Xenopus tropicalis: one gene and its partner. The protein of the gene in region 1 purifies or fractionates together with the protein of each later gene. This does not show direct contact. Links are inferred from orthologs where the notes say so. Each region holds a gene or a part of one and is shown on either strand. Other genes may lie near its edges.

The links.
Region 2: the proteins of retinal rod rhodopsin-sensitive cGMP 3',5'-cyclic phosphodiesterase subunit delta (region 1) and rab28 purify together in Homo sapiens (affinity purification with mass spectrometry; 3 studies listed by BioGRID and IntAct, with this or other methods). This does not show direct contact. The link is inferred for Xenopus tropicalis from reciprocal best matches to the Homo sapiens genes PDE6D and RAB28.

What each region holds. Positions count from the first base shown.
Region 1 is NC_030681.2:101,174,036-101,190,450, forward strand, and holds the start of retinal rod rhodopsin-sensitive cGMP 3',5'-cyclic phosphodiesterase subunit delta, read right to left. Parts: upstream 8,354-16,415; 5' UTR 7,328-8,353; coding exon 7,281-7,327; intron 1-7,280. UniProt on the Homo sapiens protein: Promotes the release of prenylated target proteins from cellular membranes. Modulates the activity of prenylated or palmitoylated Ras family members by regulating their subcellular location.
Region 2 is NC_030677.2:27,322,983-27,338,676, forward strand, and holds part of rab28 (ras-related protein Rab-28), read right to left. Parts: intron 5,915-15,694; coding exon 5,811-5,914; intron 2,754-5,810; coding exon 2,676-2,753; intron 1-2,675.

The DNA of each region.
Region 1 (16,415 bases):
ACGATCGTTCGGATATGAAAATTTCTTGCCTATCGGATTGACAATTGTTTCAATGTGAAAGTTTCGGATCGTAAGTACAAAATCTTCGTATTCAAACGAACTGAAATTTGGTGACTTTTGCAAACATCAGAAACTATCAGATTTTGCGATTCGGATTCGTACTTTAAGGAATCTGGCCCCTATTCTCATCTTAAAATAGTAGTTTGTAAACACCTAACATCAAAATGGCTCTGACAGAAATCCGATATCGTTTGGCTCAGTGTCGGACTGGGCTGTGAAGGGCCCACCGGGACTCCGGTCCCAGGGGCCCTTCAGGTGCACTCATCCGGGCGCGTCCTCAAATCCCCCCCCCCCGTAGGGGCCCCCTTAGCCCCCCCCCTCGCAGGGCCCCCACCCGACGTCCTCCCCGGGCGCATAAATTTGACGCGTCAGGGGAGGAGCGTTCAGGAGGGGGAGCGCCGGCAAGGGTCGGGTCTGGGCTGCCAGGGCCCACCGGGATTTTTCCCGGTGTCCCGGCGGCTCAGTCCGACCCTGGTTTGGCTACAGGCATAGGATTATTCCTCTTGGTCTCATATTCCAAAAGCCACAAAGAATTTTTAAAACATATAAGGGATCTCATCATTGAAAGGTATCAGTCAGGATAGGGGTACAAAAAGCAAGACGAAAGCCTTTAAGTTGGCCCATACACACGCCAATATTATCGTACAAAATGAGGTTATGGTGCGATATGTTGGATTAACGAGCCGATATTGCAAAATCCTTGTATATTCGTTGTCTCGTCGATCAGGTGGGACAGACAATTTTGATTGCCCCCCCATTGAAGGCACCCAAGCAAAGGCAATCATTTAGGGCTTAATCATCAGATAGGGGTAGAATTCCTATTGTTTCTACCTCCATTCCCGAAGATTCAGCTCTGAGCGTTAGTGGAGGGTACAAGCGACCATTGATCACAGGAAATATCAATTATAACGTGTATGTCCACCTTTACTCACAAAGAAAAACATCCAAGCCTGCCTAAAATTTGCAAAAAGGTATACCCAGTCCCTCACAACCTTGTGAAAAAAAATGTATTATGGTCTGATGAAACCAATGTTGAACTATCTGGCCATAATACCAAAAGATATACTTGGTGCAAAAATTACACAGCACATCACAAGGACACTATACCCACAGTGAAGCATGGTGGAGGCAGCATTGTGCTTTTGGGCAGCTTTTCTTCAGCTGGAACTGGTGTTTAGGCAATGTGGATGGGATCATGCATAGTTCCAAATCCTTCAAACATCCGTTAGGAAGATGAAGATAAAGAGGAACTTCACCTTTCATCAACCCAAAGAATACATCTAAATCAATAATGCAATGGCTTCACCCAAGGAGTATTAATGTTCTGGAATGGCTCAGCCAGAGCCCAGACCTTAATCTGACTGGTAATCAGTGGGTTGACCTGAAGAGAGCTGTGCACAGGAGATGCCCTCACAATTTGACAGATCTGGAAATTTTTGCAAGGAGTGGGCAGAAAAAACTGCCAAGTCCAGAAGTGCTAAAACTCAGAGCTTTAATAAAATCAAAAGGTGCTTCAAGCAAGTTTTCAACTTTGTTGTATAGATCGCAATTTTGCAATAAAGGTGGAATAAGTTCTGACAGGATTTCTGTTTTGTTTTTTTTTTAACAAAAACCTGCCATTTTGCAGGGGTGTGTAGACTTTCTATATCCACTAAATGCCTTGTCACACTGCAGATCCTAGAAGGCTTAGGACAAAGATGCTAAATGTTTCTCATACTGTAATCTCTGGCAATATAAAAATGGTGGCGGAAAAAGCGAGCAGCTGTCAGAATAATCTAGCTTTCTACAAACGAATACAAAATCAAAACGGAAGCTGGAAGAAAAATGTATTGTTTTGCTTACCTTTTTCATTTTAATAGAAAGCAAACAAGAAAAGCACAGAGAAATACAAACTTCAAACAAGAAATTGATTTCCCAGCAATAGAAAAAAAAAAAAATCATGTACCTCTGGTTTCATCCATTCCCCGAATTCTACAAATAAAGCCCTTGCACGCAAGGCCCATCTGCTGATGTGAGTTTGTATCAGTGTGTCATTATTTGTAACTGGTGTAGCACATTGCACAGTTCTACAGTCAATGTCTGGAGTCAATTCAACAACAATAAGAGAAATTCTATTTATACTGTTAGAGGCCCCTGTGACCACTTGTGGCTGTTTGATACTGGTTGATGGAGCTTCTAGTATTTTCCATATTACACTAAGCCTCGATAAATATTGGAGCATTAAATACAATAACATTCCAAAGGGAAACTAATGATTATGATAAAATTAGGTTATTTGTGTAGAGACCGTTGTGCCACTTTCCCAAACCACAAACAGAACGTAATGTTAAATCTATGTACATAAAAAGGACAAGGGCGCACAGTGCGTATATCTACTTCTCTCAGCCCTGTGTTTTTCAGTCAGACTGAAAGAAGCTTATCTCCTTGCCTGCACAATAAACTACAGTGTGGGCACACAGAGTGAAGAGGATCGGAGGTCAGTCTGAAAAACGAATGCTTTCATGTTTTTCAGGTGCAGGAAAAGGTGATGTACCGTGCTAGCCAGTCAAAATGTTTACAGGGTAACCCTTTTGAAATAAAAACAAAAGTGTTATAAAAGGCGATACCTTTATTGGCTAAGATAATCATAGCAAGCTTTCAGAACATTAAGCTTGAAAAAGGAACTAAAATGTTCTGAAAGCTTGCTATGATTATATTAGTTAGACAATAAAGGTATCACCTTTATACCACTTTTTTTTTTTCAGCCTGACTAAAAAACACAGGGCTGAGAGAAGTGAACATTTGCACCTTCTGCCTTTGCCCTAATGTAAAAGTTTACCTATTAAGTTTTTTAATTATTTTTTAACACTGTAGTTTTATGCCTTTGTAAAGGTAACCTTTTACATTTCTTTTTCAGTACAGAATCATCGCCAACCACTATTTCAGCAGTACCTGTAAATAAATGATCGGTGGTGCCAGGGCCATCTAGACATTGCCTCACTACTACACCATTACTTCCTCTTACCAGTGCAGCTTGAGGGACTATGGCATAAAGCATAAATTACCACCAAGCCCGTTGGCAGACCAAAATACAGCTGTAATTCCTAACCGAACCTGAGCGACAACTAATTTAATCCAACATGGGAAAACATTTTGTCACTCTAGCTATTCATACTAGTTTTCAGTTAGAACTATTATTTATACTGTTATACTGTTAAATGTAATCTTGTTACGATCATAATGACATGTATTATCTAATCTCTATTATAACATAATTTGTCCAACCACTATAATCAATAAACATTTCTGATAAATCAGGTATATTTTCTCTTAAAAAGAAAAAAAAAAACATTTTAATTTCTTTAACCAGGCAAAACAGAATACATGCTGTACCACAGCCAAGTTGTCCTTGGGGTAACTCACAATCCCGAATCAATTTACAGTAAAAATTAGAAAAACTGGTGTATGCCTTAAATATACTGTAAAGCAGTGTTCCCCAACCAATGGCTCGTGAGCAACAAGTTGCTCGCCAACCCTTTGGATGTTGCTCCCAGTTGCTGCATAAAAACCCAGTGTAATTGCCAAACAGAGCCTTCTGTAGGCTTCCAGTCAACATAGGGCATATATGTCAAACACAAGGCCCGGGGGCCAAATGCGGCCCACCTGGCTGTTTTATGTGGCCCTTGGTGAGTGAGTCTGACCATCCAGCCTGATCAATTTCCATTTTCCTCACATAGTAACTAAGACTAAGGGGTATATTTATCATGCTGTGTAAAAAGTGGAGTGAAGCATTACCAGTAATGTTGCCCAGGGCAACCAATCAGTAATCAGATTTCAACAGTAGCAAAGCATCTATTGGCTGCTATGAGCAACATCACCACATTGTGATAAATATACCCCTTAGTATCTTACTAAGTATATTAATAAAAAATTTGGCCCACGACTTAGTCTGTGTTTTAGATTTTGGCCCCCTTATGTGATTGAGTTTGACACCCCTGACATAGGGGCTATTAAATAGCCAATTATAGCTCTCATTGGCACCTCCAGGAACTTTTTTCATGCTTATGTTGCTCTCCAAAACTTTTTTCATTTGAATGTGGTTTACTTCTACAAAATGATTGGGGATCCCTGCTGTAAAGGAACACTTTGAAAGAAAAAAAACAAAACTTTAGATCACTACTATAAATGTTCCAGATAACATATCTAAGAAAAAAATGAAAGTCATCCTACCATAATAGTATTAATGCTCTAAAGGTGATATGTGTCTCTGTGTGATCCTCCTTTAAACAGTGGTGTTAAAAGGGGCTCTGTGTAGCTTGCCATTTCTGTCTTCAGTTGCAAGCTTTTTTTTTTTTGTTACCTTTAGCGGTGGTATTGTACATTTCTTGTGTCCCCAAACTTACTCCACAGGTCCAAATACATACTTTGCCCAATGCATTTCATCTTGGTAGGCTTTCTAAAGTTATATGGTCTAACTAAACCAAACGACAAAAGGGAAAATTCCCAGTAGGTCCAGGCACAAGTGAGCTCTCCTTTTCTCCAAGAATGTGGCTTTCTATGAAAGTATTATAGCTATTCTCTTAGAAAAAATAAATAAATACCAAAAACAGAAGTAACAAAAAAAAAAAAACAGTGGGGGTAATTTACTAACATAGGTGCTCAACTGCACTGGTACAAGTTTACATCACAACCTATGGATATCAGATTTTGTAGGATTAAATCTGACCCACAAAAGTAGGGATGCACCAAATCCAGGATTTGATTCGGGACTCGGCCAAGATTCAGCCAAATCCACACTCTTGGCCGAGCCAAATCCTCAAAATCACATTACTTATGGTCACAAACACGGCTCTAAACCCTTACTTATCCTAATTTACGAATACAAATTAGTATTCAGACTGTTTGGTATTTGGCCGAAACATTTACGATAGCGGATTCATTGCATCCCTACACAAAATCTAATTTAAAAAAGTTACTCAGCAGAACTGCAAAAGAAAAATGCAAGGGTAAAATTTTACCTGTAGTTAGCTACACATATAAAAATCCACTGGTTTGTTCAGGCTGCGATGTTGAAGCAGAGTCAAGTCATATTTAAGCACCCAAAATAAGAAAATCTCTGCAGCCCGCCGCTGGATACTTAAGGCAAAAGCCAGCAGTGATACTGAGGGAGAACTTGATCTTTAGCGATCAGTGCATGCTCAGTACAGTAGGATTGCCTGTTCATGTGCTTATCAAAAGATGGAAGAAAGGGAGTGAGCTGAGCAGAGTCTGACTGGAGTGACTGGGGCCCACTGGGTACTTGACTTAAGGGGTCCACCACCCAGCCAGTGCTGCTCCTAGCTCACCAAGTTCCCACTCCGGAAGATGGCCGTTCCACAGTAGAACTTATGCCCATCTTTAACTTTTAAAGGAACAGTTCAGTGTAAAACTGAAACTGGGTAAAATAGACTGTGCAAAATAAAAAAATGTTTTCAATATGGTTAGTTAGCCGAAAATGTAATCTATAAAGTATTATGTAGGCAGATGTCTAACATAGTAGCCAGAACACTACTTCCTCCTCCTAAGTTGTTAACAGTCAGTTACCAATCAGTGACTTGAGTGGACATAACATTTTGCACAGTCTATTTTACACAGTTTCATTTTTTACTAAACTGTTCCTTAAACAGCAAAATAAGTAGCACAGCTAAGCAGGGAGAGGTGATGGCTGGGGCTTGCGGGCAGACTGGCATTCAAAACAGGCCATGGCATTTCAGGCAGAGATGCCCAAACCAAACAGCCCCCCATCAACCCACTAGTGACTGTCTATGGCATCTTACAGCAGCCTCTCTGGCATTTGCCAGCCAGGGCTTGGGTGGCAGGGTCTGGGCCCACTGAGATTTTTCCTGATATCCTGGTAGTCCAGTTTGACCCTGGAGCTAAGGTCCAGTGCTTAAGGCAGCACCAGACAAATTAAAAAGTTTAGCTTCCATACAGGGCCCAGTGGGCTGCCTATATCGGTCTGTGTATAGACACATGGAAAGACTAAGAATCCTATATATACTAGGGGCTGCCAAAATGTAAAGCACTACCCAGTGCATTACATTACTATACTATCTCCTCAGACCGATGCTCCTTTGTGTCCTTATTTTTTCAGATTTTAGTCTATTACACATGCTCAAATCTAAGTTTATGAAAGGCACAGCTGAACCACTTTTAGAAAGTTTCCCAAGCCAGTAGTGATGTCGGGGTCGACTTCTTGTCGACCTGCACCCCCCCCCCCTCTCCATCTGCACCCAAACTGGCCCGCAGCTTCATGTCTATTAAATAAAAAAAGACTCCAGTGATTAAATTCACTTAGAGGGGAATTTACATATCAACACTTCCCCTACCCCAATGACAAGGTTTCTTTCCCATTAAAGACACAACACATACAAGACCTTAACCACATCATCAAAAATAAGTCTACTTCTATAGAAATAGACCTAGCAATCTGTAATAATGACCACCCCTTCAGATCAAAAAAACCTTATAGAAGCCACTTATCATATACCTCTGCCTATGGCATGAATTCAAACAAAAAAAAAACCACTCATTGAGAAAATGAAATCAAATATCTGATAGGTTGTCATGAGCAACTGAATTGGTGATATGTAGTAGTTGTTATCTTAGTAAATCATCCATACAGAGAGTTAACCCATACAAAATGGCTGCAATGTAACCGATCTAGTGCTTATTTCATAATGCCAGCAGTTGTTGTTTGTCTGTTAAACAAGCAGGTCTGATGCAGACTTGCACTTTTTTGTAGTATTTTATTATACAAATTTTGAGGTGTTTATTGCGTCTCTGAATCCCAATAGTGTGTGTATTTGATGCATTTAATGTTCTAGCACCAAATATAAACCTATAGATAAGTATATCACATATGGTCACACCATGCTGATAGTTTGCATTAATGCCGTATTGCAGGGAAGTCCTACCTGTGGCCTGCCATCTGGACTAGATCTCCCTAAGCGCTAATCACTAATCACTTTTAATCTTCCAAGAGATGCTGAAAGCTCAACAGCTGGAGGGCCAGAGGCTGGTCATCAATGCAACACTGAGATAAAAAAAAATAAAGCCTGAATCACCAGACGCCACTCATTTTTTTGACTTAAATTTATATCTTATACTTACAACACCTGACCTACACCAAGGGACCCATAATTGTGATATCACTTTCTCATAACATGCTCTTTTCCACTTACACCCTTATTGTTGGATACAGTTTGAATCCCTTTAGGATTTGCTTGGCTCTCTCATCCTGAGACATGTTGAATGCTGTCCTTGATTTCCTTTATCAGTTGAAGGATTATCCCTTGAGATATACAGTTCAAGTTTTCCGGTCCTAGTTATGCAAAAGCTATAAAAGCCAGTGTTGAGTTTTACAGTGATTACAATAGACTTCTGGCCTCTGTAGATGATCCAGGTTTGTTAAGCCTGCATAAGATTCATACTGACACAACAAAAGTTTAGTTTGGTTTAAAATTAAATACGATGGTCTTGGAACAGTACTGGTATAAGTCTTGTTTAATTTAAATTTCAGAAAGTACATGCATGACGGTCTCTCGCTGGCCAGTAGAATGACAATAAAATAGGTGTGGCCTAACCCTAACTTGGACTGTCAGAGTAATTCCATTTCAGCCAGTGCTAGCAACAGCAACCAGCACAAGCAATCATAGGTGATCCAACAGTAGCTTCACTCTCTCAGTACATACACGTTTTAATATGCAATATCTTGAGATGTGTCCAAGTGCCAATTCTGGCAGGTGAGTTGGGGCCCTTGCAGCAATTGATGATATGGACAATACACAAAATATAACTGCAATGGTAGATGGTTTGAGCCAGAAAGGGTACAGGCAAGCGATATCAGCCAGTCAGACCACAGGTAGGCTGTACAGGCCAGACATAGTGCAGGTAGGTCGGTGCTGGGGTAATCTAGCAGCATAAACAGCTTCTATGCATTAAGTAGTAGTTCCACACCTATATCACACCCACCACATAGAGTAATAATCCTGAACAGAATTTGCAGTTTTACTTGCACCTGGAGGCGAGCAGCGTGGATTCTGCCTCTGACAGACGCCCTGATCAGCTTTCCGTAACACAGAGGTCCCAGGGCCACGGCACTGGGAAGAACTCTACAATGTTGCACTGCTTTCCGGAATCGTATAGTAACTACTCGTTATGTCAGCATGGATTTAACAACTAGCTCCTCGTCTACAGGATCTGGCTAAGAAGATTTACTAAGCTACATCAGTTCCTCCTATTTGCCCTATGACGTTTAGTACAGTTCAACAAAAAATGCTAGCACCGGCCAATCACAGTCGGAATCCCTGCTGAGTGATATCGCCACGCACCAATTAGGAGAGAGAGAACGTCGCACGCAGGGCGGGACAAATCGATTTCAAGTCTGGTTGAGTGCTCGCGCGTCACTAATTTGAGGAACCTCATGTTGCATAGAAACGGAGGAAAGTTGTACGGGACACGAAAAGGGTCAAAATACATTCACTGGCTACTTGTTCCAGGTGGTAATAGAGAATAATTGAGTTTGGGTGATCTTGCAAAGTTTACTTACTGAAGCAAAGCAATTTAGAGCACAAGTTCACATGTTCACAACTCGTGTAGGTAACTTAATGCATTACATGATGACTGTTAGTAACTACATAGTTGGGAAGATACTGGATTCTATTTTTTTTTATTTTAGGTTAAATTTACTGGCGCAAATTTTCTCCCCCTCTTATTCAACCATAGTTTACAGACCCGGACTGTGATTCAAAATAGGACATGGCATTTCTATTATACAGAGGCCCAAATAGCCCCCCCCCCCCTCCCCAATAAATAGTGACTTGTAGATTGTAAGCTCTTTTGGGCAGGGCCCTCTTCACCTCTTGTATCGGTTACTGATTGCTTTATATGTTACTCTGTATGTCCAATGTATGTAACCCACATATTGTACAGCGCTGCGGAATATGTTGGCGCTTTATAAATAAATGTTAATGTAATAATTTATAGTGCACATCAGGCATTTACCAGAATACACAGATTACCAGTCCAGGCCTGAGGGGCACCGAAATTATATTATATAATGAGAGGCAGTGGGTACTGACTCACAAAATACATTTTATATAATGGGAGGAACTACGTACTGAAAAACCAAATATAAACTGAGAGGAAGTGGGCATTGAAACACTGCCAGGAGAGCTAGTAGGGAGAGGCGACACAAAAATTCTCTTAACTGCACAAAAACTGGATACCTACAGTGGCTTGCAAAAGTATTCGGCCCCCTTGAACTTTTCCACATTTTGTCACATTACAGCCACAAACATGAATCGATTTTATTGGAATTCCACGTGAAAGACCAATACAAAGTGGTGTACACGTGAGAAGTGGAACGAAAATCATACATGATTCCAAACATTTTTTACAAATAAATAACTGCAAAGTGGGGTGTGCGTAATTATTCAGCCCCCTGAGTCAATACTTTGTAGAACCACCTTTTGCTGCAATTACAGCTGCCAGGCTTTTAGGGTATGTCTCTACCAGCTTTGCACATCTAGAGACTGAAATCCTTGCCCATTCTTCTTTGCAAAACAGCTCCAGCTCAGTCAGATTAGATGGACAGCGTTTATGGACAGCAGTTTTCAGATATTGCCGCAGATTCTCGATTGGATTTAGATCTGGACTTTGACTGGGCCATTCCAACACGTGGATATGTTTTGTTTTAAACCAGGGATCCCCAACCTTTTATACCCGTGAGCCACATTCAGATGGAAAAAGTTTTGGGGAGCAACACGCGCATGGAAAACGTTCCTGGGGGTGCCAAATAAGAGCTATAATTGGTTATTTGGTAGCCTGTATGTAGACTGGCAGCCTACAGAAGGCTCAGTTTGGCTTTACACTGGGTTTCATGCAACCAAAACTTGCCTCCAAGCCAGGAATTCTAAAATGAGCAGCTACTTTGAGGTCCCTGGGAGCAACGTCCTAGGGGTTGGGGAGCAACATGTTGCTCACAAACCACTGGTTGGGGATCACTGTTTTAAACCATTCCATTGTTGCCCTGGCTTTATGTTTAGGGTCGTTGTCCTGCTGGAAGGTAAACCTCCGCCCCAGTCTCAAGTCTTTTGCAGACTCCAAGAGGTTTTCTTCCAAGATTGCCCTGTATTTGGCTCCATCCATCTTCCCATCAACTCTGACCAGCTTCCCTGTCCCTGCTGAAGAGAAGCACCCCCAGAGCATGATGCTGCCACCACCATATTTGACAGTGGGGATGGTGTGTTCAGAGTGATGTGCAGTGTTAGTTTTCCGCCACACATAGCGTTTTGCATTTTGGCCAAAAAGTTCCATTTTGGTCTCATCTGACCAGAGCACCTTCTTCCACATGTTTGCTGTGTCCCCCACATGGCTTGTGGCAAACTGCAAACAGGACTTCTTATGGTTTTCTGTTAACAATGGCTTTCTTCTTGCCACTCTTCCATAAAGGCCAACTTTGTGCAGTGCACGACTAATAGTTGTCCTATGGACAGATTCCCCCACTTGAGCTGTAGATTTCTGCAGCTCGTCCAGAGTCACCATGGGCCTCTTGGCTGCATTTCTGATCAGCGCTCTCCTTGTTCGGCCTGTGAGTTTAGGTGGACGGCCTTGTCTTGGTAGGTTTACAGTTGTGCCATACTCCTTCCATTTCTGAATGATCGTTTGAACAGTGCTCTGTGGGATGTTCAAGGCTTTGGAAATCTGTTTGTAGCCTAAGCCTGCTTTAAATTTCTCAATAACTTTATCCCTGACATGTCTGGTGTGTTCTTTGGACTTCACGGTGTTGTTGCTCCCAATATTCTCTTAGACAACCTCTGAGGCCGTCACAGAGCAGCTGTATTTGTACTGACATTAGATTACACACAGGTGCACTCTATTTAGTCATTAGCACTCATCAGGCAATGTCTATGGGCAACTGACTGCACTCAGACCAAAGGGGGCTGAATAATTACGCACACCCCACTTTGCAGTTGTTTATTTGTAAAATATGTTTGGAATCATGTATGATTTTCGTTCCACTTCTCACGTGTACACCACTTTGTATTGGTCTTTCACGTGGAATTCCAATAAAATAGATTCATGTTTGTGGCTGTAATGTGACAAAATGTGGAAAAGTTCAAGGGGGCTGAATACTTTTGCAAGCCACTGTAGATGCTATTTAACCAGAGACAGGGAGAATGCCCTGTTTCTCTTGTGCAGGTCAGAGCGCAGAATGTGGTCAGATAATTAAGGGATCATTCCTTCAGAATCTGCTATGGCTGTAATTGAGTACACAACTATATACATTATCAGAGCTATAAACCCCAGGGGATTGTTGTGACATGCAAATCGCGCCGTCCATATTCTGGTGGGGTGTGTTGTTTGACGTCATCCCACATGCACACAATGCACATGACATCATGAAATGTTCACTGCACACTGCACTTTTTGCAATTGGAAATGATGTGTGCTTCTCTGAATACATGTGGCGTGATGTGGCTATTTCATTTATCAAGGACTGTCCAGTCCAACCACCCCCTGTATTCAGAGGAGCCCCAATTAGTTGTTGTAGGGGATGTCATTAGAAGCACATTAGAAGCTATTGTTAAGCAATGTATTTGGGAACCCCACTAACTACCAATGATTCATGATAAAGACAGGTATGAGGGCAAGATTGGTGCATGGGAATAAACATTTTTTGGGCCTGCAGTTCCAATGCCTATGTCAAAATGTATCTGCCCAATCAGATTTCAACTATAATAGGGAACAACAACATGTAACAAAACATGTATATGAGGGTTTTCAAAGGTTCAGATCTTTATAGCCATATGTTTAGCCCAAGATTCCATAGTACTACTGTAGAACTATTCAGCAGTGCATTGCGGAAATGAAAAAAAAAAACGTGTAACGTGTTCCTAACAGTTTTCAAGGGTGCAGAGCTTTGCCATCAATTTACTCCAAAATCACACTTTACTATTTGACCAATAAGTGCCCCATTACATTGTGTTGAAATACTACTAAGCACATTGTTGCAAAGGAGAAACCATAAGTATGGGTTCATCAGCTAATATTGGGTACAGACCCCTCACCTATCTAACTTCTCAGCATCACAAATGTTTTCAAGGCATAGTGCCTTTTCCAAGCAACAATATATGCAACAGAAAGTGATTAAGGAACCCAGAGCAAAGAATGTTTGGTCACAACATTATGAACACAATGGTGAGCTTGTACCCTGCTCACAAGCATAGAAAAAAGGTAAGTATAGAATATTTCTGAAATTCTGTTATTTCCCAGTAGAATCCAGCAGAGACCTGATAGTAATTTTATGATTTATCTTCCTGGTTGGTGTCCATGCATTCCATTAGACAGGGTTGAACTGGGGTGTGCAAGAGCCCTGGTGGGCGCTGCACCCCCGAAGGGGCCCCCACCATGGCCTCCACACAACCTGCAGGGGCCCAGCCACCTTCCCTTCCCTGAGTGTGTGTAAATTAAACTTACCTTTAGCATGTTGGAGGAGGAAGACCGGCGGCCCAGGGGAGTGGCCAGGGGGATCAGGTTTGGGTTGCTGTGGCCCACCGGGTTTTTTCCTGGTGCCACCAGCCCAATCCTACAAGGTAGTGAAGGCACAACCCAGAGGCAAAGCAAGAATTAATCATCCCCTGTTGAGATGTATTAGAAATAAATAAAAGGAGAGTAGTGGGATGTGACTGATATTAAAAGTAAAAATAATTCTGCTAACAAATAATGTTTTCTTTCCTTACCCTGCACCTAAGAGTATATTTATCATATTCTGGGGTAGATTCCAAACCAGTGGTGCTAGAGTTTAATGGGGAGGTTTAATACTCAACGTATATTTATCTTACACTGTAGGTAAAAGAGACCTGCATGTTGAGCTTATGGCAGCTCCCACACAAACAAATGACAGTAAATGGCATCCCATGGGCATAACAAGCAATGTTAATGGGCTTGGATATGTTAGGCTTTGATCACAGACTTGAAACATATGAACATTTAGTATAAGAAAGCGGATAAACTAACTACATAGGAAATGTATGAGGGTAGCTTGCTGCACCTTCTTCTCTTATGGATGCTCTGAAAATAATCACAGTACCTGCTAGCTTAAAAGAAAATATATCCTTAAACCCTACCATTTTTAAGAAGATTTATCTATAACTGACTATAGAGATATGTACCTGGCTTTGCACTGGGTAACCAGCCCATGCCCGGGTGACACCTGCGACAGGGCAAGAGACCTCAACTGTTGGGAAGTGACATTTGGTAAAAAGACTTTTCGTCCAGAGCAATTCAATTCAGCAATTCAAGCACTGCGCCTTCACATAAGAAAAGAAGAAGAACAGGAAGTAGAGAATAGGTTGAGGGTGTCTGTACCATTACATGCTGGTGGGTCACTGTAACTGTATATGGTGGGGTTGTAAAAAAAAAAAAAGGCACAAAGTTCTTACAGGTCTAGTCACCTATACTGTGTCTAATGCTGGTAGTGCTAAATTACCTATTATTATTGCCTGAACTATAAATAAAGTCTCTTTTCTCCACTAGGAAAAGCTGATACCAAGAGACCCCCAGCTCAGTTTTCAAGGCCTGACCCATTCAGCATGTCCACTTAAGGTGGCCCTACACAGGCCGATTTTAGCTGCCAATATCAGTACCTTAGACCGATAGGGACCAAAATCTGACCTAAAAACTTATAGATTAAAAAATTTAGTCAGATCGGGGACTGCATCGGCTCGTTGATCCCCAGGGCCAAACGACCGAATTAGCCTGAATTCGCCAATATCGCCCACCCGTAGGTGGGGATATCGAGAGAAGATCCTCTTGCTTGGCGATCTTAACGTGTATGGCCACCTTTACTTACACTTTCTATTCTGTGCTGGGAGGAGGATTTGGCAAAGTGAGTGACTGGTTCTCATTAAGCACAACTCTTTTTTGTAGGGTGTAAATCCTAAATATGGTGGAAAATAAAAGAACTGAGTGCTCTGGGTACTATTTCCAATGATGCGTAAAGAAACAAAATCCAAATCTGATTTCCCAACTATATACCAATGTGTTTTCCATCTTAGTGCGCTAAACACATATTATTTGCTATGTAAACAGTGTAATTTATAAAATAAAAAGTATACCATAAAAATCATGACAGAATCCCTTTATTAAACACGAAAAGTATACAGAGTGCAGTATGGAGTAGTAGACATGTGAATACAATATCCAAAAAATAAGTATACATATGTATATGCTTATAAAAGATAATATTCAACAGAAAGCATACAAAAATTGATCAAATCTATCTTCAACTGGATCTCACATGTTGGGGTAGTAGATTTGATTTCTGAAATGAATGACTACATTTTATATGCCCTTTTTTCTTCAAATGTAATATAACGGTCTAGAGTTTGCTACTTGTCTAGTAACTTATAGCAACCCATAAGCAGGCACATTTTTAAGAAAATGTTAGACTTTTTAATATAGTACCCCATATATTTGCTCCTTTTTCCTTCCATAGGGCTCATTTAGTAACACTGGAAAATTCTGTAACCCATTGCCATCAATCAGTGATTAGGTTTTTTCAGCCTGCTGCATGTAGAACTATAAAAGCAAAAATTGATTGCCATGGTTTACTGCCAGTGCAAATTTGCGCAGTGTTGATAATTAAGCCCCTTATTATGCCATATCTTAGTAAGTAAAGCAAAAATAAGCTACATTTTTTGACCATATGAAACTATATCTTTTTTTTAACCATTAAAAATGGCAATAGATCTCTCGCCCGTGATAGTTCTCTGCTATCGTGGGCAACTAATCTGTCCAAAATGCCTTTCTACCAACACGGGGAATCTGTGGTAGAAAGGGCTACACATTTTCCGAAGTCACGCAGTTTCCTCCTGCAGGCACTCATGTATTTTTGGAAAGCCAAAGCAATGTGTAGGCCTTTCCACAAGCCATTCCCTTTTTTGCTGGTGGAAAGGCATTTTGGAGAGTTTAGTCACCTGGGTTAGCAGGAATCTCTTGCGTGAGATTAAATCTCACCAGGGGACATTAGCCGAAGGGCTGTGGCAGACGGGGAGACTAGTCTCCCCGAATGACCATCCCGCCGGCTAGTATGTAAATCGTCATTGGGATGGCATATGCGGCGCCAGGGCCGCCATCAGAAATCACGGGGCCCCTCACAAAAAAAATTTCTGGGCCCCCCTCCCACCAGTACAAAGGACTCACAGATATGAGACACTGGTAGCCAGCAGGGCCCCCCTAATACATTGGTAGCCAGCAGGGCCCCCCCTAATACATTGTTAGCCAGCAGGGCCCCCCTAATGCATTGGTAGCCAGCAGTGCCCCCCCCCCCCAGTACATTGGTAGCCAGCTGTGCCCCCCCAGTACATTTGGTAGCCAGCTGTGCCCCCCTTGCCCCAGTACATTGGAAGCCAGCTTAGCCCCCCTTCCCCAAGTACATTGGTAGCCAGCTGTGCCCCCCTTGCCCCAGTACATTGGTAGCCAGCTGTGCCCCCCTTGCCCCAGTACATTGGTAGCCAGCTGTGCCCCCCTTGCCCCAGTACATTGGTAGCCAGCTGTGCCCCCCTTGCCCCAGTAAATTGGTAGCCAGCTGTGCCCCCCTTGCCCCAGTACATTGGAAGCCAGCTGTGCCCCCCTTGCCCCAGTACATTGGTAGCCAGCTGTGCCCCCCTTGCCCCAGTACATTGGAAGCCAGCTGTGCCCCCCTTGCCCCAGTACATTGGAAGCCAGCTGTGCCCCCCTTGCCCCAGTACATTGGAAGCCAGCTGTGCCCCCCTTGCCCCAGTACATTGGAAGCCAGCTGTGCCCCCCTTGCCCCAGTACATTGGTAGCCAGCTTTGCCCCCCTTCCCCAAGTACATTGGTAGCCAGCTGTGCCCCCCTTCCCCAAGTACATTGGTAGCCAGCTGTGCCCCCCTTCCCCCAGTACATTGGTAGCCAGCTTTGCCCCCCTTCCCCAAGTACATTGGTAGCCAGCTGTGCCCCCCTTCCCCCAGTACATTGGTAGCCAGCTTTGCCCCCCTTCCCCAAGTACATTGGTAGCCAGCTGTGCCCCCCTTCCCCAAGTACATTGGTAGCCAGCTGTGCCCCCCTTCCCCCAGTACATTGGTAGCCAGCTTTGCCCCCCTTCCCCAAGTACATTGGTAGCCAGCTGTGCCCCCCTTCCCCAAGTACATTGGTAGCCAGCTTTGCCCCCCTTCCCCAAGTACATTGGTAGCCAGCTGTGCCCCCCTTCCCCCAGTACATTGGTAGCCAGCTTTGCCCCCTTCCCCAAGTACATTGGTAGCCAGCTGTGCCCCCCTTCCCCAAGTACATTGGTAGCCAGCTGTGCCC
Region 2 (15,694 bases), on another chromosome or scaffold:
TAATGTGGTTAAGTTGGCACTATAGAAATTTAGGGCAATAACAAATATTGACAAGCCTAAACTCAGTTTATTCTTCTAATTGAATCTGGTTGAGAAAAATGCTCTTATGTAATTGGCTGAAGGCATCTGCCTGTAGGGCTGGCCATGGGTCAGCACAGTAAATGAATGATGCTAAAGTCCTATTAGACTCAAAGGCTTTTCATATTCATAGGATGTTAATAACTGGATACGTCTTGTCCCAACCTTATACACAAAGATGCAGCTTGCTCCTTATAAGATTGAGATGCATTTAATGTGGTTATTTAATGGCCTTCCCATAATTCAGAGCTTTCTGGAAAACGGATCCCATACCAGAACACTTCTATCTATTAATATTTATCTCTAACATATCTCTACTACTACTTATAGTGCTCTGAGTGGTGAATGATCAAAAAGTAATCAAATTCTTATTCCCTAAGCAAAGACTTTTAAATGAAATATTACTGGGCTATGGCTATCCCCTTATTTTAGTAATTAAGGGAATTCAATATATTTATTTATTTATTTATTTTTAATAAAAAGTCCTTATAAGGCTGTGATCCAAATGCAACGTTTTTTTTTTCTGCAATAATAAAAATTGTTTCAACTTACACTAAAATGCGGTCACCAAGGAAAATGTAATTAACTACTGCTTATTTACTTCATTTCCTTTGTTGTAATCTTTACATTAATCATTACTAATTTTACGATCTACAGTCTACAGCCAGGAGATTTTATGATAAAGCGTAGGTTATATTTACTACTGTATATATTATGGATCCTATTTTTAAATACTTGCCATTCCTTTTTTTGTGAGCATTAGAGAAACTAGCATTTGAAACTAGTTCCAATTAGAAAGTATTGGTCATCGGGTCTAACAACTTCATTGTATCTATTAGTAAGAATGTAATAAAATGTATTACAAAGATTCAAGACAATTTATTATATATGAATATGCCACGGGGAATCCATGACATTGTTGTCTTACAATATTTTATACCCTGACCATTTTAAGATGGCGATACCACAAAACAAGTTTAAGCATGTTGTGTGGGATCCATGTTAACATTAAGTATCAGGATAACCTGGACTGTTTTTATGACAACTACATAATTTAAAGGAATACTGTCATGAGAAAACATGTTTTTTTCAAAACCCATCAGTTAATAGAGCTTCTTCAGCAGAATCCTGCATTAAAATCCTTTTATCAAAAACACAAACACATTTCTTTATATTTAATTTCAAAATTTCACATGGAGCTAGCCATATTCTTCATTTCCCAGGGTACCACAGCCACGTGACATGTGCTTCAGTCACACTTTACTGCTGCGCTGCAAGTTGGAGTGATACCCCCCCTCCCAGCAGCCGATCAGCAGAACAATGGGAAGGGAGCAAGATAGCAGCTCCCAGTAGGTATCAGAATAGCACTCAATAGTAAGAAATCCAAGTCCGGCTTGGGACTCCTCCAGTTACATGGGAGTAGGAGAAACAATAGGTTAGCTGAGATAAGTTGTAAACATTGCGGTCTATGGGCCTTAATAAGTATTATAATTTATAATACATCTTTATCTGTAGATTTGTGAAGGTGGGATAAGCCCTGAATTTGCATACACTATAATTTGTTACTTCAGTTGTGCAATGTAACATCACATGCTCAGACATTGCCTTTAGATATCTTGGTATACAATAGGCATAGAATTGTATGAAAAAATCATATCATGCACAACTAGAGCTACAAAATTGAGTATTACTCAGTTCTTGTGAACAGCTCTACGGCTGGCCACACCCTCTCTTGTGAGTGACAAATCTGATTAATTTGCTGAATATTATGCCTTCATCATAACCTTTAATTGTAACAAGCTGCATTAAACTAAAATGCTTTAGTTAAAATATACCAGGTGATGCCTATGAGGCTATAGGTAAGAATGAACACTATTAGGGGCCCATTTACTTACTCACAAACTGGCCGAATGCCAGGGGGGGTTTTTTTTCGTAACGATCGGTATTTGGCGATTTTTTCGGAAAATTATCGCAACTTTTTCGTTGCCATCCGAATGTTGCTCAAAATCTGACGATTTTTTCGTAGCGTTAAAACTTGCGCGAAAAGTCGCGCCTTTTTCGTAGCCATTCCGAAAGTTGCGCAAAATGTTGCGATTTTTTCATAGCGTTCGGATTCATTCAAGCTTCAGTATGGTGACTTTTCTTGGGCCAGGTTGGAGCTGCAGGGTGCCATTGAGTCCTATGGGAGGCTTCCAAAATCATGCTAAGTCTGAAAGTTTCGGCCGCCGCTTACGAGCGCTCAATACGAAAAAGTCGCGACAAGATACGAGTGAATCGTAATGGCTACGAAAAACTCGCGTTTTTTCGCAAAAATCGTATTGGTAACGAAAAAGTCGCGACAATTTCCGAAAAGTCGTAAAGGCGCCAAAAAAAAAAATCGCAAAAAATACGAAAAAGACGCAAAATGTTCGTTTTCCAATCGGAATTTTTCCAATTCGGATTCGAATTCGTGTCTTAGTAAATCAGCCCCTTAGTGTTATCACTGGAAGTTATGGAACATAATTATATTTTGCAAATAAAAAAAAAATTTACTGCAGCATCCTAATATTCATATATTTTTTTGGGGGGATGGGGGCAAATATTGGTGGGATTATTACCTGAGATTGTTCAATTTCTGCTTTGTTTAATTTGATTCCAAGGATCTCAGCAGCAACTCTCTGAAAACACAGGAAAACCTACAAAGGGAAAAAAGGAGTTTAAATGATTAAAAACAGACATCCTCTAGTTACTTTCAAATACATCAAGTCTTTCCTGAACTGTAAACACTGTCGACATGTAAACACTGAATTTCTACTCCCCAGTCCTTAAAATACCTTATGATAGCCATACACAGACAAACAGTGGCTGCCAACTTGGGCACTCAAGGCCAACTTGGGAGCTTATTGGCCGTGGCTGGGAGCAATATGATGGCTTGCCAGATATTTTAAGGGCAGGTTAAAAAATGGTGCCTTGTTTTTTGTTCCACATATTACAGATAGTGAAAAATCCCTTGAAAGGCTCCAAACACAGAAATCCCATTTAAAAGAACCTTCAAAGGGATTCTCTAATCCCACTCTTTACAACAAATAAACAGCTTTGAGACCAGGGATTTCAGTAGTGGTACACCATATACAACTGCACCATATTCACAAGCACAATCACATTTTCCTAAAGCAAATAGCAAATTTCAACTGCTGGCCATTTTTCCTCTCACACATCATCAGTGAAGTTTACATCTGCAAACAGCACATGTGCGCAAAGATACTTATTTGGTTCCTGCAATGAAGAATGCAGGCTTACACAGGCAGAACTTAGTTACTGATAAAAGGTCCTGCTTGGATTGAGCACTGTAATGGTTAACCTGAGTTCAGGAGAGGAGTTTGGATAAAATATAAGAGCAGACAGCTAGAGCAAGATTCTGTGGGAACCAGCAATGCCATGTCTTTATTGCCTGCTAAACTGAAGCTGAAAAAACTGAGCATGCTCAGTAAGCCAAGAGCCAAAGCCAATTCCCGAGGGAGGGGCCAAATGGGTTAGAGGAGGAGAAAGAATCCTGGGTGATTAAGGGGATGCTGCAGCCTCAATATTAACTTTGGACAACAGGAGTGGTATTTAAAGATTTCAAAGATAATGTTCACTGATTAATCTTTTTTGTGGGACAGCCTCACTTTCCAGCCAGTAGTACAATATTCTTACTTTTACCTTTTCTGTTAATGAAACGAACCAATCATTTGTTCTGTGCTAGACGTGATACTGATATATGTATTTTATGTATAAAGCAACACATGTAGATGAAACAGGTTTTAAAAAAAAAAAAAAAAAAAAAAATTGCTATTAGCTCTGCTATGTGCAACTGTGGGCCTGCCCAAACAGACCTATGAATCCAAGGAAAGGAAAAATAAGGGGAACAGTTGGAAAGAGAAACATTTAATTAAAAATAAGGTAAACACTGAAGGTTGGTGTTATCATAATAATTAAAAAGCTTGCATTCATCAGCTTACCAAAAATGGTGCCTTTTGAAATGAAAAAGAAAAACATGCATCCACCCTAATACTGTATTGCCAGTCCTCCGTGTTTCTTATTTGTTGTCATGGACAATTAAGTTTAACAGTTGCCTTATACATGATTACTAATGTTTGGTTCCTAAAGATTTACTGATGGAACTGGCGGCTTTGGTCTGTTGATGAAGTCCAAGTTTATATGTCACAAGTCATCAGTTTATGATTTGTCATCTCCCGCTGTTCTACGCTGATGTACTACTGGCTGAAAAAAGCACTTGAAAATTAACGGCTGGATTTTTACCACCTTAAAGGCATACTGTCATTGCACTGGTTAACATTTTAACAAATGATTTTAGAAAATAATTTTAGTAAATATGAGGCAGAGCTGAGTTGGTCCTAGTTAAACAATTAAGCACTGGGCTCACTCATGAGCCCTTTTGTGCTCTTGCTCCCAAGGGCTTTGTAAATGAGGCTTTTTGGTGCTGCTGAACAATGAAGCAAGTAAGAAAAGCTGAACTTTCTCATACCGTAATTTTTCTTTCCTTTGGAGTCAGGCAGCAGCAGAATTCTCCCTACGGTTTGTTCAATTAACTATGTTAGCATTATGGTGTTATTACTTTTCAAAAATAATTCTTACAATAGGGTAAGGGGGATTTATGGGGTGTCTTACAGGTCTGAGGCATCACCTAACTGTCCTTTCCAGAGCTGTGGCATCAGAGGCCATTTTGGGTGCCTAGAGTCGGAGTAGGCAAAAATGTTCCGACTCCTAATAAATTTAAATTGGCATGAAAAAAACAATGTACTATTTCAGAGATAATACATAGTCATAATACAGTACTTCTCTGTTGTAAGAATGAAGGCCAGTGCGTAACTAGTGTTAAGTCCAGCTCAGCTATTATAACCTTACTGGTTTCATTTTTGTCTTTTGTTCACACTTTAGGTTTAGGGAATGTTTGTAGTTTATTTAATAAATAAAATAAAGAGCCACAATGTCACAGGCTTAGTTACAGATTTAGACACAAACTTGAACAGGATCCTCATTTATGTTGGTGGTGACAGGCTTGGATGGCCAACAGGGTAGTGCGTGAGCTTCCTAGTGAGCAAGTTTGTTATATCTGTATATTAAAAACAGAGGAGTTGGAGGTACCATAAACTGAAGAGTTAGTGTTGGAGTTGAAGCATTTATGTACCGAACGTACAGCCCCGGTCCTTTCCCATAGAATACAGTCTCTGGTGATGCAACTTAGGTCCAGAAACCACAACAACTATTTCAACCTCAACCCTGTATCAAAACTTTTTTCTTGCCATTGCCAACTCCACATAGACAGCATTCCTTTATTTCTTGGTTATTATAGTGTAGTTTGCTTAAATACAGAACTTGTTAGAAACATAAGGTTAAGGGCCCTGTTGCATGTAGGTGCTCCCCTGAGAAATCCTAATCTCTAAATACCTTTAGACACAAGGCATCTGTTCCTACAATCAATCTGACTTTTAATTTAGAAAGCTCCAATAAAACTAGTTCCTCAGGAAAAACAATTTATATCCTCTTCTTCACTACACAAAGCTTTCTCCCTTGGCTTTAGATTTTCATTTTTATGACCCAGTTGTAAAACCAAGCAGAAATGTGTATTATCATGGTCATCTCAATAAGTCTACACCCTTTTCTATCATTTTTCTTCTAGTTTCACTTTCAGATTCCAAGCTTTGTTCTAACACAAATGACAATATTGATGTTGTCATATTTTTACTTACAGAATCTCCTGTCTTTGCGGAAACAAAATAACTTCCTAGGTTGTTTTCTTGGCAGAACCTCTGATGTTTATCAGCTTTTACTGTTCGCATGTGCTCCAAGTCGACTAAAAAGGAATAACAGATGTATTAATCTAGGCACATATACATAAATTGTAGCATTAGCTTTGCTTTGCAGTCATCTAATTAAACAAATACATGTGTATGTTTATGTACATATAAAAATCAGAAATTTATTATGGCAAAGCAATGAAATGTATTTTGATGATTCCAAACATTCCCTTGAGACCTTATAAATGGGGACTGATGCCCAGTTTGGTGTAGTGTATGGTAATACTGACAATAGAAATCCTTTTGGCAATTTTTTTGACCCAAAAAGGAACTGGATGTTGGCATAGGTCCAAATACAGGTATGGGACCCTTTATCCAGAATGCTCGAGACCAAGGGTATTCCAGATAAGGGACCTTTCCATAATTTGGATCTCCATAACTTAAGTCTACTAAAGAAACAATAAAACATTAAATAAACCCAATAGGATTGTTTTGCATCAAAAGAAGATTAATTATATCTCAGTTGGGATCAAATACAAGGTACTGTTTTATTATTAAAGAGAAAAAGGAAATACATTTTAAAAATCTGAATTATTTAAATAAAATTCAGTCTATGGGAGACAGGATTTCTGTAATTTGGAGCTTTCTGGATAATGGATCCCATACCTGTATTTACATGAAAAAAAATTAAGAATGCTTAGGAGTAAGAAAATACCAGAGAATAAAGAGGATAGCACTAACAAGAAGTCTCTGTGGCAAAGTAAGAGAGGAAAAGGAATTATAGTCACATACAAATTTATTTTGTGAATAAGAGGAAAAAAAAATAAAACTAAAAGAAAATTCAAAATCCACTACTTGCTAAGGGCTGTCTTTTGAAAGTGCTTCTGCCCCAAAAATATAGACAAGAAAAATGATAAAATAAGAATAATGTCCCAGATAGAGGGGCAGATGGGTGGGAGATAGATTTTGTGGAATCTAAAGGAAAACCTTAGTAGAATAGTGATGAATATACAAAGGGTATGGACTTGAAGATGGGGAAGAGTAGGTATAAATCTGTCCTTTTCATAATATCATTTTAAATTAAGCGTTTTGGGGGCTTGAGGTGAAATAAGGATTTAAAGATTTTTGAAAACCTACTTGGCAAGTAAGTTAGTTCCACTGACAGTAATGCTATGCCCAGAGAAGAACCACAGGCAAAAAATGACCATTCTGTTCATTGTAGTAGAAAGGCGCTCTTCTTGCCAAGTGAATTGAAAAGCATTTGCTTTTTAACATGTAGAAAGAGTAAACTCCTTGCTTGTTAATTGACTAAGCATTGGCTGAATTACTCAATTATGCTTAATTAAATATATTATGTCTTATAAAAATATCCAGGCATGCTTGTCAATTATGCTTAATTAAAGTTATTAGCTTTCAATAAAAATATCTCAGTAGGCACAATTTTGTGCTCTATTAACATGGATACTGCAAATAGTGTTTGCTGTGTGTCAGCTAGAAGAGTAAAGAGAGAAACAGGGATGGCCACACTCTAAGGTGTGAAGAATAAAATGATTTCTTTATCCTACATTATATATAGCTGGAACTGCTTCAGACCTTAGTAATCAGTGACAATGTATATACCAATTATTAGTAAGGATTATATTCATATCATAAAAAAAGTGAAGATCCGTCAGTGTGGTCAAAAACAGGATCTCTGGAAACATTGGGACGTGAGCACTTTGACTGAAGAATGATGCCATAATGCGTTCTGATCTGGAACTTAGAATTCTTTCTTATATTTGTATGTATACATTTCCATACAAGCCAGTGATGGGTAAGAAATGGGCAGCATGACGGCTCTATAGTTAGTACCGCTGCCTTGCCATCCTGAGTACTATTTGCATGCATGTTTTCTGTGTCTGTGTGAATTTCCCCTAGGCATTTCCCTATACTCCAAGAGATAAAGGCCGTTTTCCCTTCTAATGACACTGTCCCTTGTGCGTGTGTGAATGTAACAGAGTTATTTGTTATTTGAGTTATTTTTTCTACTCTGCTTTACTTATTTCCATATTTTTCCCACTTCTGCATATACATACTCTGTGACAGACTTGTCCATTGCGCTTCAGTCAGGAGCTAATGAAAGGACACGAGGAATCCACTAAGGCCCCTTGAACTTTACACGTTTCATAATCAGAAGGCACTTCAACATAGCCCTTAAGTGCCTCCTGAGCAAGAAAAAGAGGGGTATGCACAGTTGCCTATATGGACCTCATTTCAACTGCACATGTGTCTGGTTGGTGAAAACTGGGAAAAAAAAGAGAACCAAGATGGTAGCCGCAAACCTCAATGCAGTTACGTAGTTAAGTTGGGTTACAAAAAGACCAAAGTACATCAAGTTCAACCCCTTTGGGGCGGGTTCTGGGCAGATTGAGGGTTAAAGGGGTGGGCCAGGGGCTGAACTTAAGGATATTACAGATTTACTGGCAGCTACATTGCTGGTAAATTTGTAATACCAGCCCCGGCCTTGGCAGGTGTTTTACCGGCTAGGGTGGCAACCCTATCTGTATAGTATTGCATGAAAATACCAAACATATAAATGAGCACAATTAGATAGTCCTTTATGCAATGCATGCACATGCTATGCTGTAGCTTTATAACTAATATGTGAAAAAGGAAGCACGCCTTGCCTTAGTACTCAATACCAAATGAAAATATATCAGTTTTGTAAATGCATTTAACTCCAACTATAAGTCAGTTTAGGAAAACAAGGAAATGCCGTGTAAGCTTTTTGGAAACACTTGCAGCAGTCAACATACTTTATTTTTAAGGGCAAATGTTAATCCTATAAGCCTGTGTTCCAAAAATGTTGCTCTGAAACAGAAAATGCATAATTCAAGTGTGAGGTATATTATTTAGTTTCTCCCATTATATACCCACTGGAAGTAGAGCCAAACCTAACAAACAATGCCATGTTTCATTGCAAAGGGCATGGTACTCAAGCAGTGTGCAGGTTTTATTGTGTACATTCCAGTTTCTCCAAATCTGATCCTGAGGTGACTGGAAGCTACATTGAACAGTTTCTGTTTTTATTGCGTACAGTCCCTATAATGGTGTTGACTCAATGCTGTCAAATTATAGGGCAAATATATTCACAAGCATTTAAGGACAACCAGGCTCTTTGAGCAAGTATAGGGAAAAAAACTTAAACTGATTTCCTGAGGAAGGGACCCTACTGGCTTGTAAAAACCTGTAAATTTGCAAATCTAGTAAGTCTGCATAATGGTGTCATTCGATTATCAACTAAAAATGTCCACTTACTCTATAAAAAGCTTTATTTAAAAAATGATATTGGAGGTCTGTAATTGGTATACTCTGGGGATTTTTGTTTTTGAGCAAGAAAATCAAAATAGTTTGTAGATTTAATTAGCTGATGGGGATTGTTACTGAAATATGCCAGGGCAACACAAAGCATCACTACATCTTTATCTTGTAGATTGTAAGCTCTTTTGGGCAGGGCTCTCTTCCCCTCTTGTATCGGTTATTGATTGCTTTATATGTTACTCTGTATGTCCAATGTATGAAACCCACTTGTTGTACAGCGCTGCGGAATATGTTGGAGCTTTATAAATAAATGTTAATAATAATAATAATATCTAATACCACCTCCAAAATAGGCAATAGCTTCAGGCTCTCCGCAGTGATGCACCAAAGGAATAGGACACAAACAGTATCACACCTAAAACTACACCATCTGGAAAAATGCTGCATTGTGGGTATAAACTAATTATAGTGGCACAGGTTTCTAAGCATGTTCAGGCCACATGAGCAATCACGACTGTAAATTTTTTGTGGCCGCGTGGTATACATTATTTAAAATGTTTCAATGTCATTCAAGTTATTTTTAAATGTAACTGCTATTGAAAGCAATATCTTTTTATATTCTCTACACGTAAAGGAACAGTTCAGCGCACAAATGAATCTGGGTAAAATAGATAGATGCGCAAAATAAAAAATATTTTTAATATAGTTAGTTGGGCAAAAATGTAACCTATAAAGGCTGGAGGGAGCAGATGTCTAACATAATGATCAGAACACTACTTACTGCTTTCAGCGATGTTGTCAAGCGAGCGGATCTTCTCCCGATATCCCCCACCTAAGAATGGGTGATATCGGGCGAATCCAGGCTGAACGATCGAATTAGAACGACGGGTATAGGCGAAGTCGGATCGGGGACCGCATCAACGAGCCAATGCGGTCCCCAATCAGACTAAATTTTTTAACCTGTCCGATCATCGTTAGTGCCCCTACACAGGGCAATTAGCTGCCAAATCGGTCTAAGGGACCGATATCAGCAGCTAGAATCGGCCCATGAAGTTTCAAAAGTCTTAATCAGAGAACGGAAAGAGATAAACAAATACTGCTTTCAGTTGCTATTAAATTTACAGTAACATTAAAACCACTGAAAATTCTTAAAAAATGTATATTGGGCCATTTTTCTAATTACATCTTATTTCATTATGCAAAAGGTTTTTGACACTAAATATTTTTCCTCTAAAGATCTGTAAGTAAAAAGGAAATCCCACTAATGCTATTATTAGTTAAAATAAAACCACTTAATTGTGGTTTGTATCTGTACATAATAAATTATAAAAGCTGAATGGTAGAGCTACAATAAATGTCAACCGTGAATTATTACATTTGTTCACACACTTCATTTTCCATTTAAAATACGCCGGATTAACTTGTGACATATATGAACAAAATATATCTTCTCTGTGTATGAATTGGTGCCATAAACAAACTCTTAAAGACTCTCTAAGGTAGAGAGACCATGCAGAAATAACTTGTTACCTCATTTTATTACTGGTTTTTCTGGTTTCTATCACACGCAATTGCTTGTCTGAAACAAATAATGATTACATCCCTTTATCAGATTTACAGACTTAAGTCTGTCAGAGCTTTGTGTGTATAATACAATTCTCCAGGATTTGTAACATCCATTCCACTTTACATTGTGCAGACACAAGTTCAGAAGTTCTCAAGCAGAAACAAGACTGCAGGACAGTGAGGAAACTGCCATTAAAGCCTTACAGTTAATGGTGGGCCGTGGTGCCTTATTTCCAACACACCCTAGTAAAGAAGAAAACCATCTGTGTCTATTTATTATACAGAAAAATGGAGAAATTTCAAGACCCCACGAATTGGAAGAAATGTCAAGATGGATCGAGTTTACTTACAAAGCACAAAATCCTAATGGTATCAATGATAATATTTACATTAAAATGTATACTTTCTTATCACAGTAGAAAAACATGATGTCCCTAGACAACTGCCATCTACTGCTTAAAAAATTGCTAAATACGCACATTTTTCAAGGGCACTTACAAGTAAATGAAAAATGGGATAAACAAGTGATCATTAGTTAAGCCAACTACTAGTTAAAAGTTCAATAATTCTAAATGCAGATGACAAATTGTGAGCTAAAACAATGAATTCATGGTTATAGGGTTATGGTAAAAAAAGTGTGTGTGTGTGTGTGTGTATATATGTGCATATATATAATATATATATATATATATATATATATATATATATATGCTTGGGTCCTGGGGTTTTCCACATGACAGGAAAACCTAAAATTTATTAAAACGTTACATAAACCCAATAGGATTGTTCTGCCTCCAATAAGGATTTATTATATCATAGCTGGAATTAAGTACAAGCTACTGTTTTATTATTACAGAGAAAAAAGGAATCATTTCGAAAAATTAGAATTATTTACTTATAATGGAGTCTATGGGAGACGGCCTTTCCGTAATTTGGAGCTTCCTGGATAACTGGATATCGGATAACGGATCATATACCTGTATATATATTTCAATATGTTTAATATAAAACAAGAGTAACTTTTTCCTTATTATTTTTCTCTGATCTCAGTTTTTTTCTGCAATAAAAATGGGCCCTGTTATCCAGAATGTTTGGGGGTTCCCTGGGGTTTACTGATAAGTGATCTTTTTGTAATTTGGATCACCAGATGTTAAAGGCGTGAATCATCAACGTCTGAGTTTGATTTTTTTTTCATGCTTTTTTTTTTTTTTTACTATATAAAAAAAACCCTCTAATTTGAATTACGGTTCAAAAACTTGAATGTCTGGTATTTAAAAAGCTTGAAAATTGGAATGTAAAACTTCATCTAAAAGTTTGAGAGTTTCTATAGAAGTCAATGGGAGTTGTCCTAGAAAAAGTCAAGCCCTATTTTCAAGATATTTGAGTTTTAGTCGAGTTTGTAAACTCAAAAATTCGATGTATTCAAGTTTTTTTTTTTATTCAAATGAGTTTACAACATTAAAAAATAAGCGTTAGAAAAACCAACTCGAATTCACAAACTCCAAAATTAAAATCTAAGGGCTATGGCAAATAAGGCATTTTGACCATTGGTACATTTGAGAAAAATATTCTAGTACTGGTGCTGTCAGGCATTTCCCAAATGGAAGGCAGCAGGAATGGCTGAAACTACCCCCCATAGACTTACACTGAAATAAACTGAGATATAGTGGCACAAAAGTTTCCATCCAACCTTGTAATAGAGTCCTGAATCAAATCTGATACCCATGGAATACACACAAAGTGGTCTGGTTTTGGGTGAAAAGTCTCTGGTTCCTTGACTATGCAGGTGAGGTAAAATGCAGGGTCTAATCTACCGCCCCCTACAGATAAAATATATTTTCTTCCCCCTGACCAAGTTGAGGGATGACACTTCCAGTTTTGTGGTTCCCAAATCAGGAAAAGAAGTTAACTTGTTGCTGTAAAGTCTGATAGTAGGGGCCAAGAAGGTCGCTGTGCCCAAGTCAGACATGGGTCTGACAGGATCCATGCAGGACATTTTGGAAATCCAGGTAACTAGGGCCAGAGTTGAGGGACGCTTGTCAGCTGAATTCAATTAAAGTGTTTTGGGGGGGATAATTTTGCACAATGGTAAGTAAGCTGCATAATCTATAGGAAAAACAATCCTATTCTGTTTATTGAATGGTTAAGTGATTTGTAGCAAGTATGGAGATTCCTTTGGAAAACCCTTGCTCCCAAGCATTCCAGACTATATATCCTATACCTGTATACCTAGTAACAATATTTTTTCCTGATACATTCAAAAGAGGAATTTTTTACAAAAACCATCTTCTGAATAGCAAATGTGATTCTTTTTTAACTGATCCCGTAGTAACGCATTGGCAATAAACAGGATTACAATACAACTAAATAGATATAACTCTGTGCTTCTAGTGTTTAGTGCAGGTTTATGGCTAGCGTGTGGCTGTCTAAAGCTCAAGGATAACAAACATCTATGTTTAAGCAAATCTGTTTTTTTGGATCCAGTGCTCCTTTCAGTGTTGTTGTGTATATTTAATGAATGCTCATTGATACAGGGGCAATTTCACAGTTATTATGAGTGACATGTAATTACTGTTGGTTTATGCTGCCTTAATATGGAACATTACATTTTTTTCTCCTTAACCTTTTGATTGGAAAACATAAGCAGAGGCACTGAGGTATAAGAGGCCAATTGAATGACTGACAGCCAAATTAACCCAAATGATCTAAATATTGCCACTGCTTGTTACTTCAACACTGCTAGATTAATCACTGCCAGGGAAACATTTTAACTGTGGCTGCAGCACAACAAGGCAGTTAAGGTAAATATATCACCAGAACATGAAACTTAGATGTGTATACATCTTATTAATCACTTCCAGGAAGGACGGGAGGCTCTGAGGATGACTGTGCTTCTTCTTCCAAAATACAGGAAGTTGTATAGAAGTCAAAGATGAATCTCACATTCAACATTAAATCTAATATTATACAGAAATGGGTCTCAAACCTTCCTTTACAGCAGCAAAATGTCCTCTGAAATGCTTAAGGTATACACGGTATATGTGCAAAAGAATTATGAAACGCTGCAGTTATACTGTATCATGGAATTATTCTAATTAAGAGAAAAAAAAATGTCTCCCCAAGTGCTTGCAGCTGTTCATACAAGTTGTGAAATTACATAATGCTCCAATAATGACCTAGCATGATTAGCCCACACAGAAACGACAAGTAAAATGCTCTAATAATTTATTAATTTGATTTACATGTGCTTAAAATTACGGGAATATTTTCACTTCTAAATATAAGCTACAGTCATCGCAGAAATGACCAAGAAAACAGCAATTTCTTTATTATTCCTATTTATGTATAAACATTATATGGAAACATGGATATCGCCATGAAATTAAGAATGTTAGCAGGTCAAGGACTTTTTTTTTTTTTTATATTATTTTCTTATGTTCTAGGATAAAGATCTGCCCTTGTTAAGTATAGTTTATTTTTAAAGGGGTTATGACTAATTTTTCCCAGAGAGCTGCCTGAAATCACCCAACTGAAATCTCCCCATTGAAATGGCATTGTACAGACATATAAAGGAGTGGGACAGTCCTATAATCTAATTGCACTGCTTGTTATTAAAGTGAAATGCTTTCTACATCCCCCTGTAATTGTCTGATATTAATAACTGAATGCAATAGAAATGTAAAAATAAAGGTTTTGGCATGCAGTCAGAGCATTTGTAGTGCGTTAGGTTTCATTAAATTAGTCATAAATAAATATGCAAGATATAGAACATTTGTGACACCTGAGCAATTTCCAAGAAATACCATATGAGATTAAATAAATAACCTATCATTTAGGGAATCTCAACAATCCACATTCTGTCAGTAGTGAGCTAAAAAGTGGAAACATTTTAGGAACACCACAGATTATGTGTACATAATATACCGGTAGTTTGCACAGGGCCTTGCAAAAGTATTTAGACTCTTGACACCACTTTAAACGGATTCTGTCATAATTTTTATGGTGTAGCTTATATTACTACATTACAGTGTGTACATTATAAATAATTAATTCTACCATTTATATTCCTGAACTAATCCATGTATTTTTTGGTGTGTACTGGTGTGTAGGCAGCCATCTTGGGTCATTGTGTTAAATACAGAGCTTTCAGAAAGAACCAGCACTTCACAATGAAAAACTGCTTTCAGATAAGCTATTGTTTACCTTACTAAGGGGCACATTTACTAATCCACGAATCCGAATCACGAATGGGAAAAAAATCGTATTGGAAACGAAAATTTTGGAAGATCGCAAATATCATGAAAATGCTTACGAAAAAATCGTATTAGTCACGATAATATCGTATTGGCGATCCGAAAGTCACAAAATTTTCGTACCGAACAATTGTAAACAGCGGTAAAACATTTCCGATTTTTTCGTGCAAACGTCCGAAAAAGTCGTGCGCCGTACAAAAAAGTCGTGCGGACGCCCGAAAAAAACGGCGAACATACGCTCGGAGCGTTCGTGCTTTTGTAAATGTGCCCCTTAGTGTAACTGGGAGACGTCATGGCTGGACTTGGGTGTTTTACTATTGAGTGCTATTTTTATATCTACCACTAGGTGGGGCATGGGACCATTTTTAGAATTGCAGGTGGTATTGTAATTGCAATGTTATTTTATTACTTGATTATTGTTCTACTGATAGGATGCTGGGGGGAAAGGGAGGGGGGTGATATCACTCCAACTTGCAGCGCAGCAAAGTAAAAAAATGACTTACGTTAACCAGAGCACAAGTCACATGACTGAGGGCACCTGGGAAACTAAGAATATATCTAGGCACATGTCAAATTTCAAAGTGAAATATAAAAACATCTGATTGTGCTTTTGAAAAACAAATATTATTGCAGGATCCTGCTAAAGGAATGCTATTAACTAATGCATTTTGTAAAAAATATTTTCCCATGACAGAATCCCTTTAATTTTACTCAATA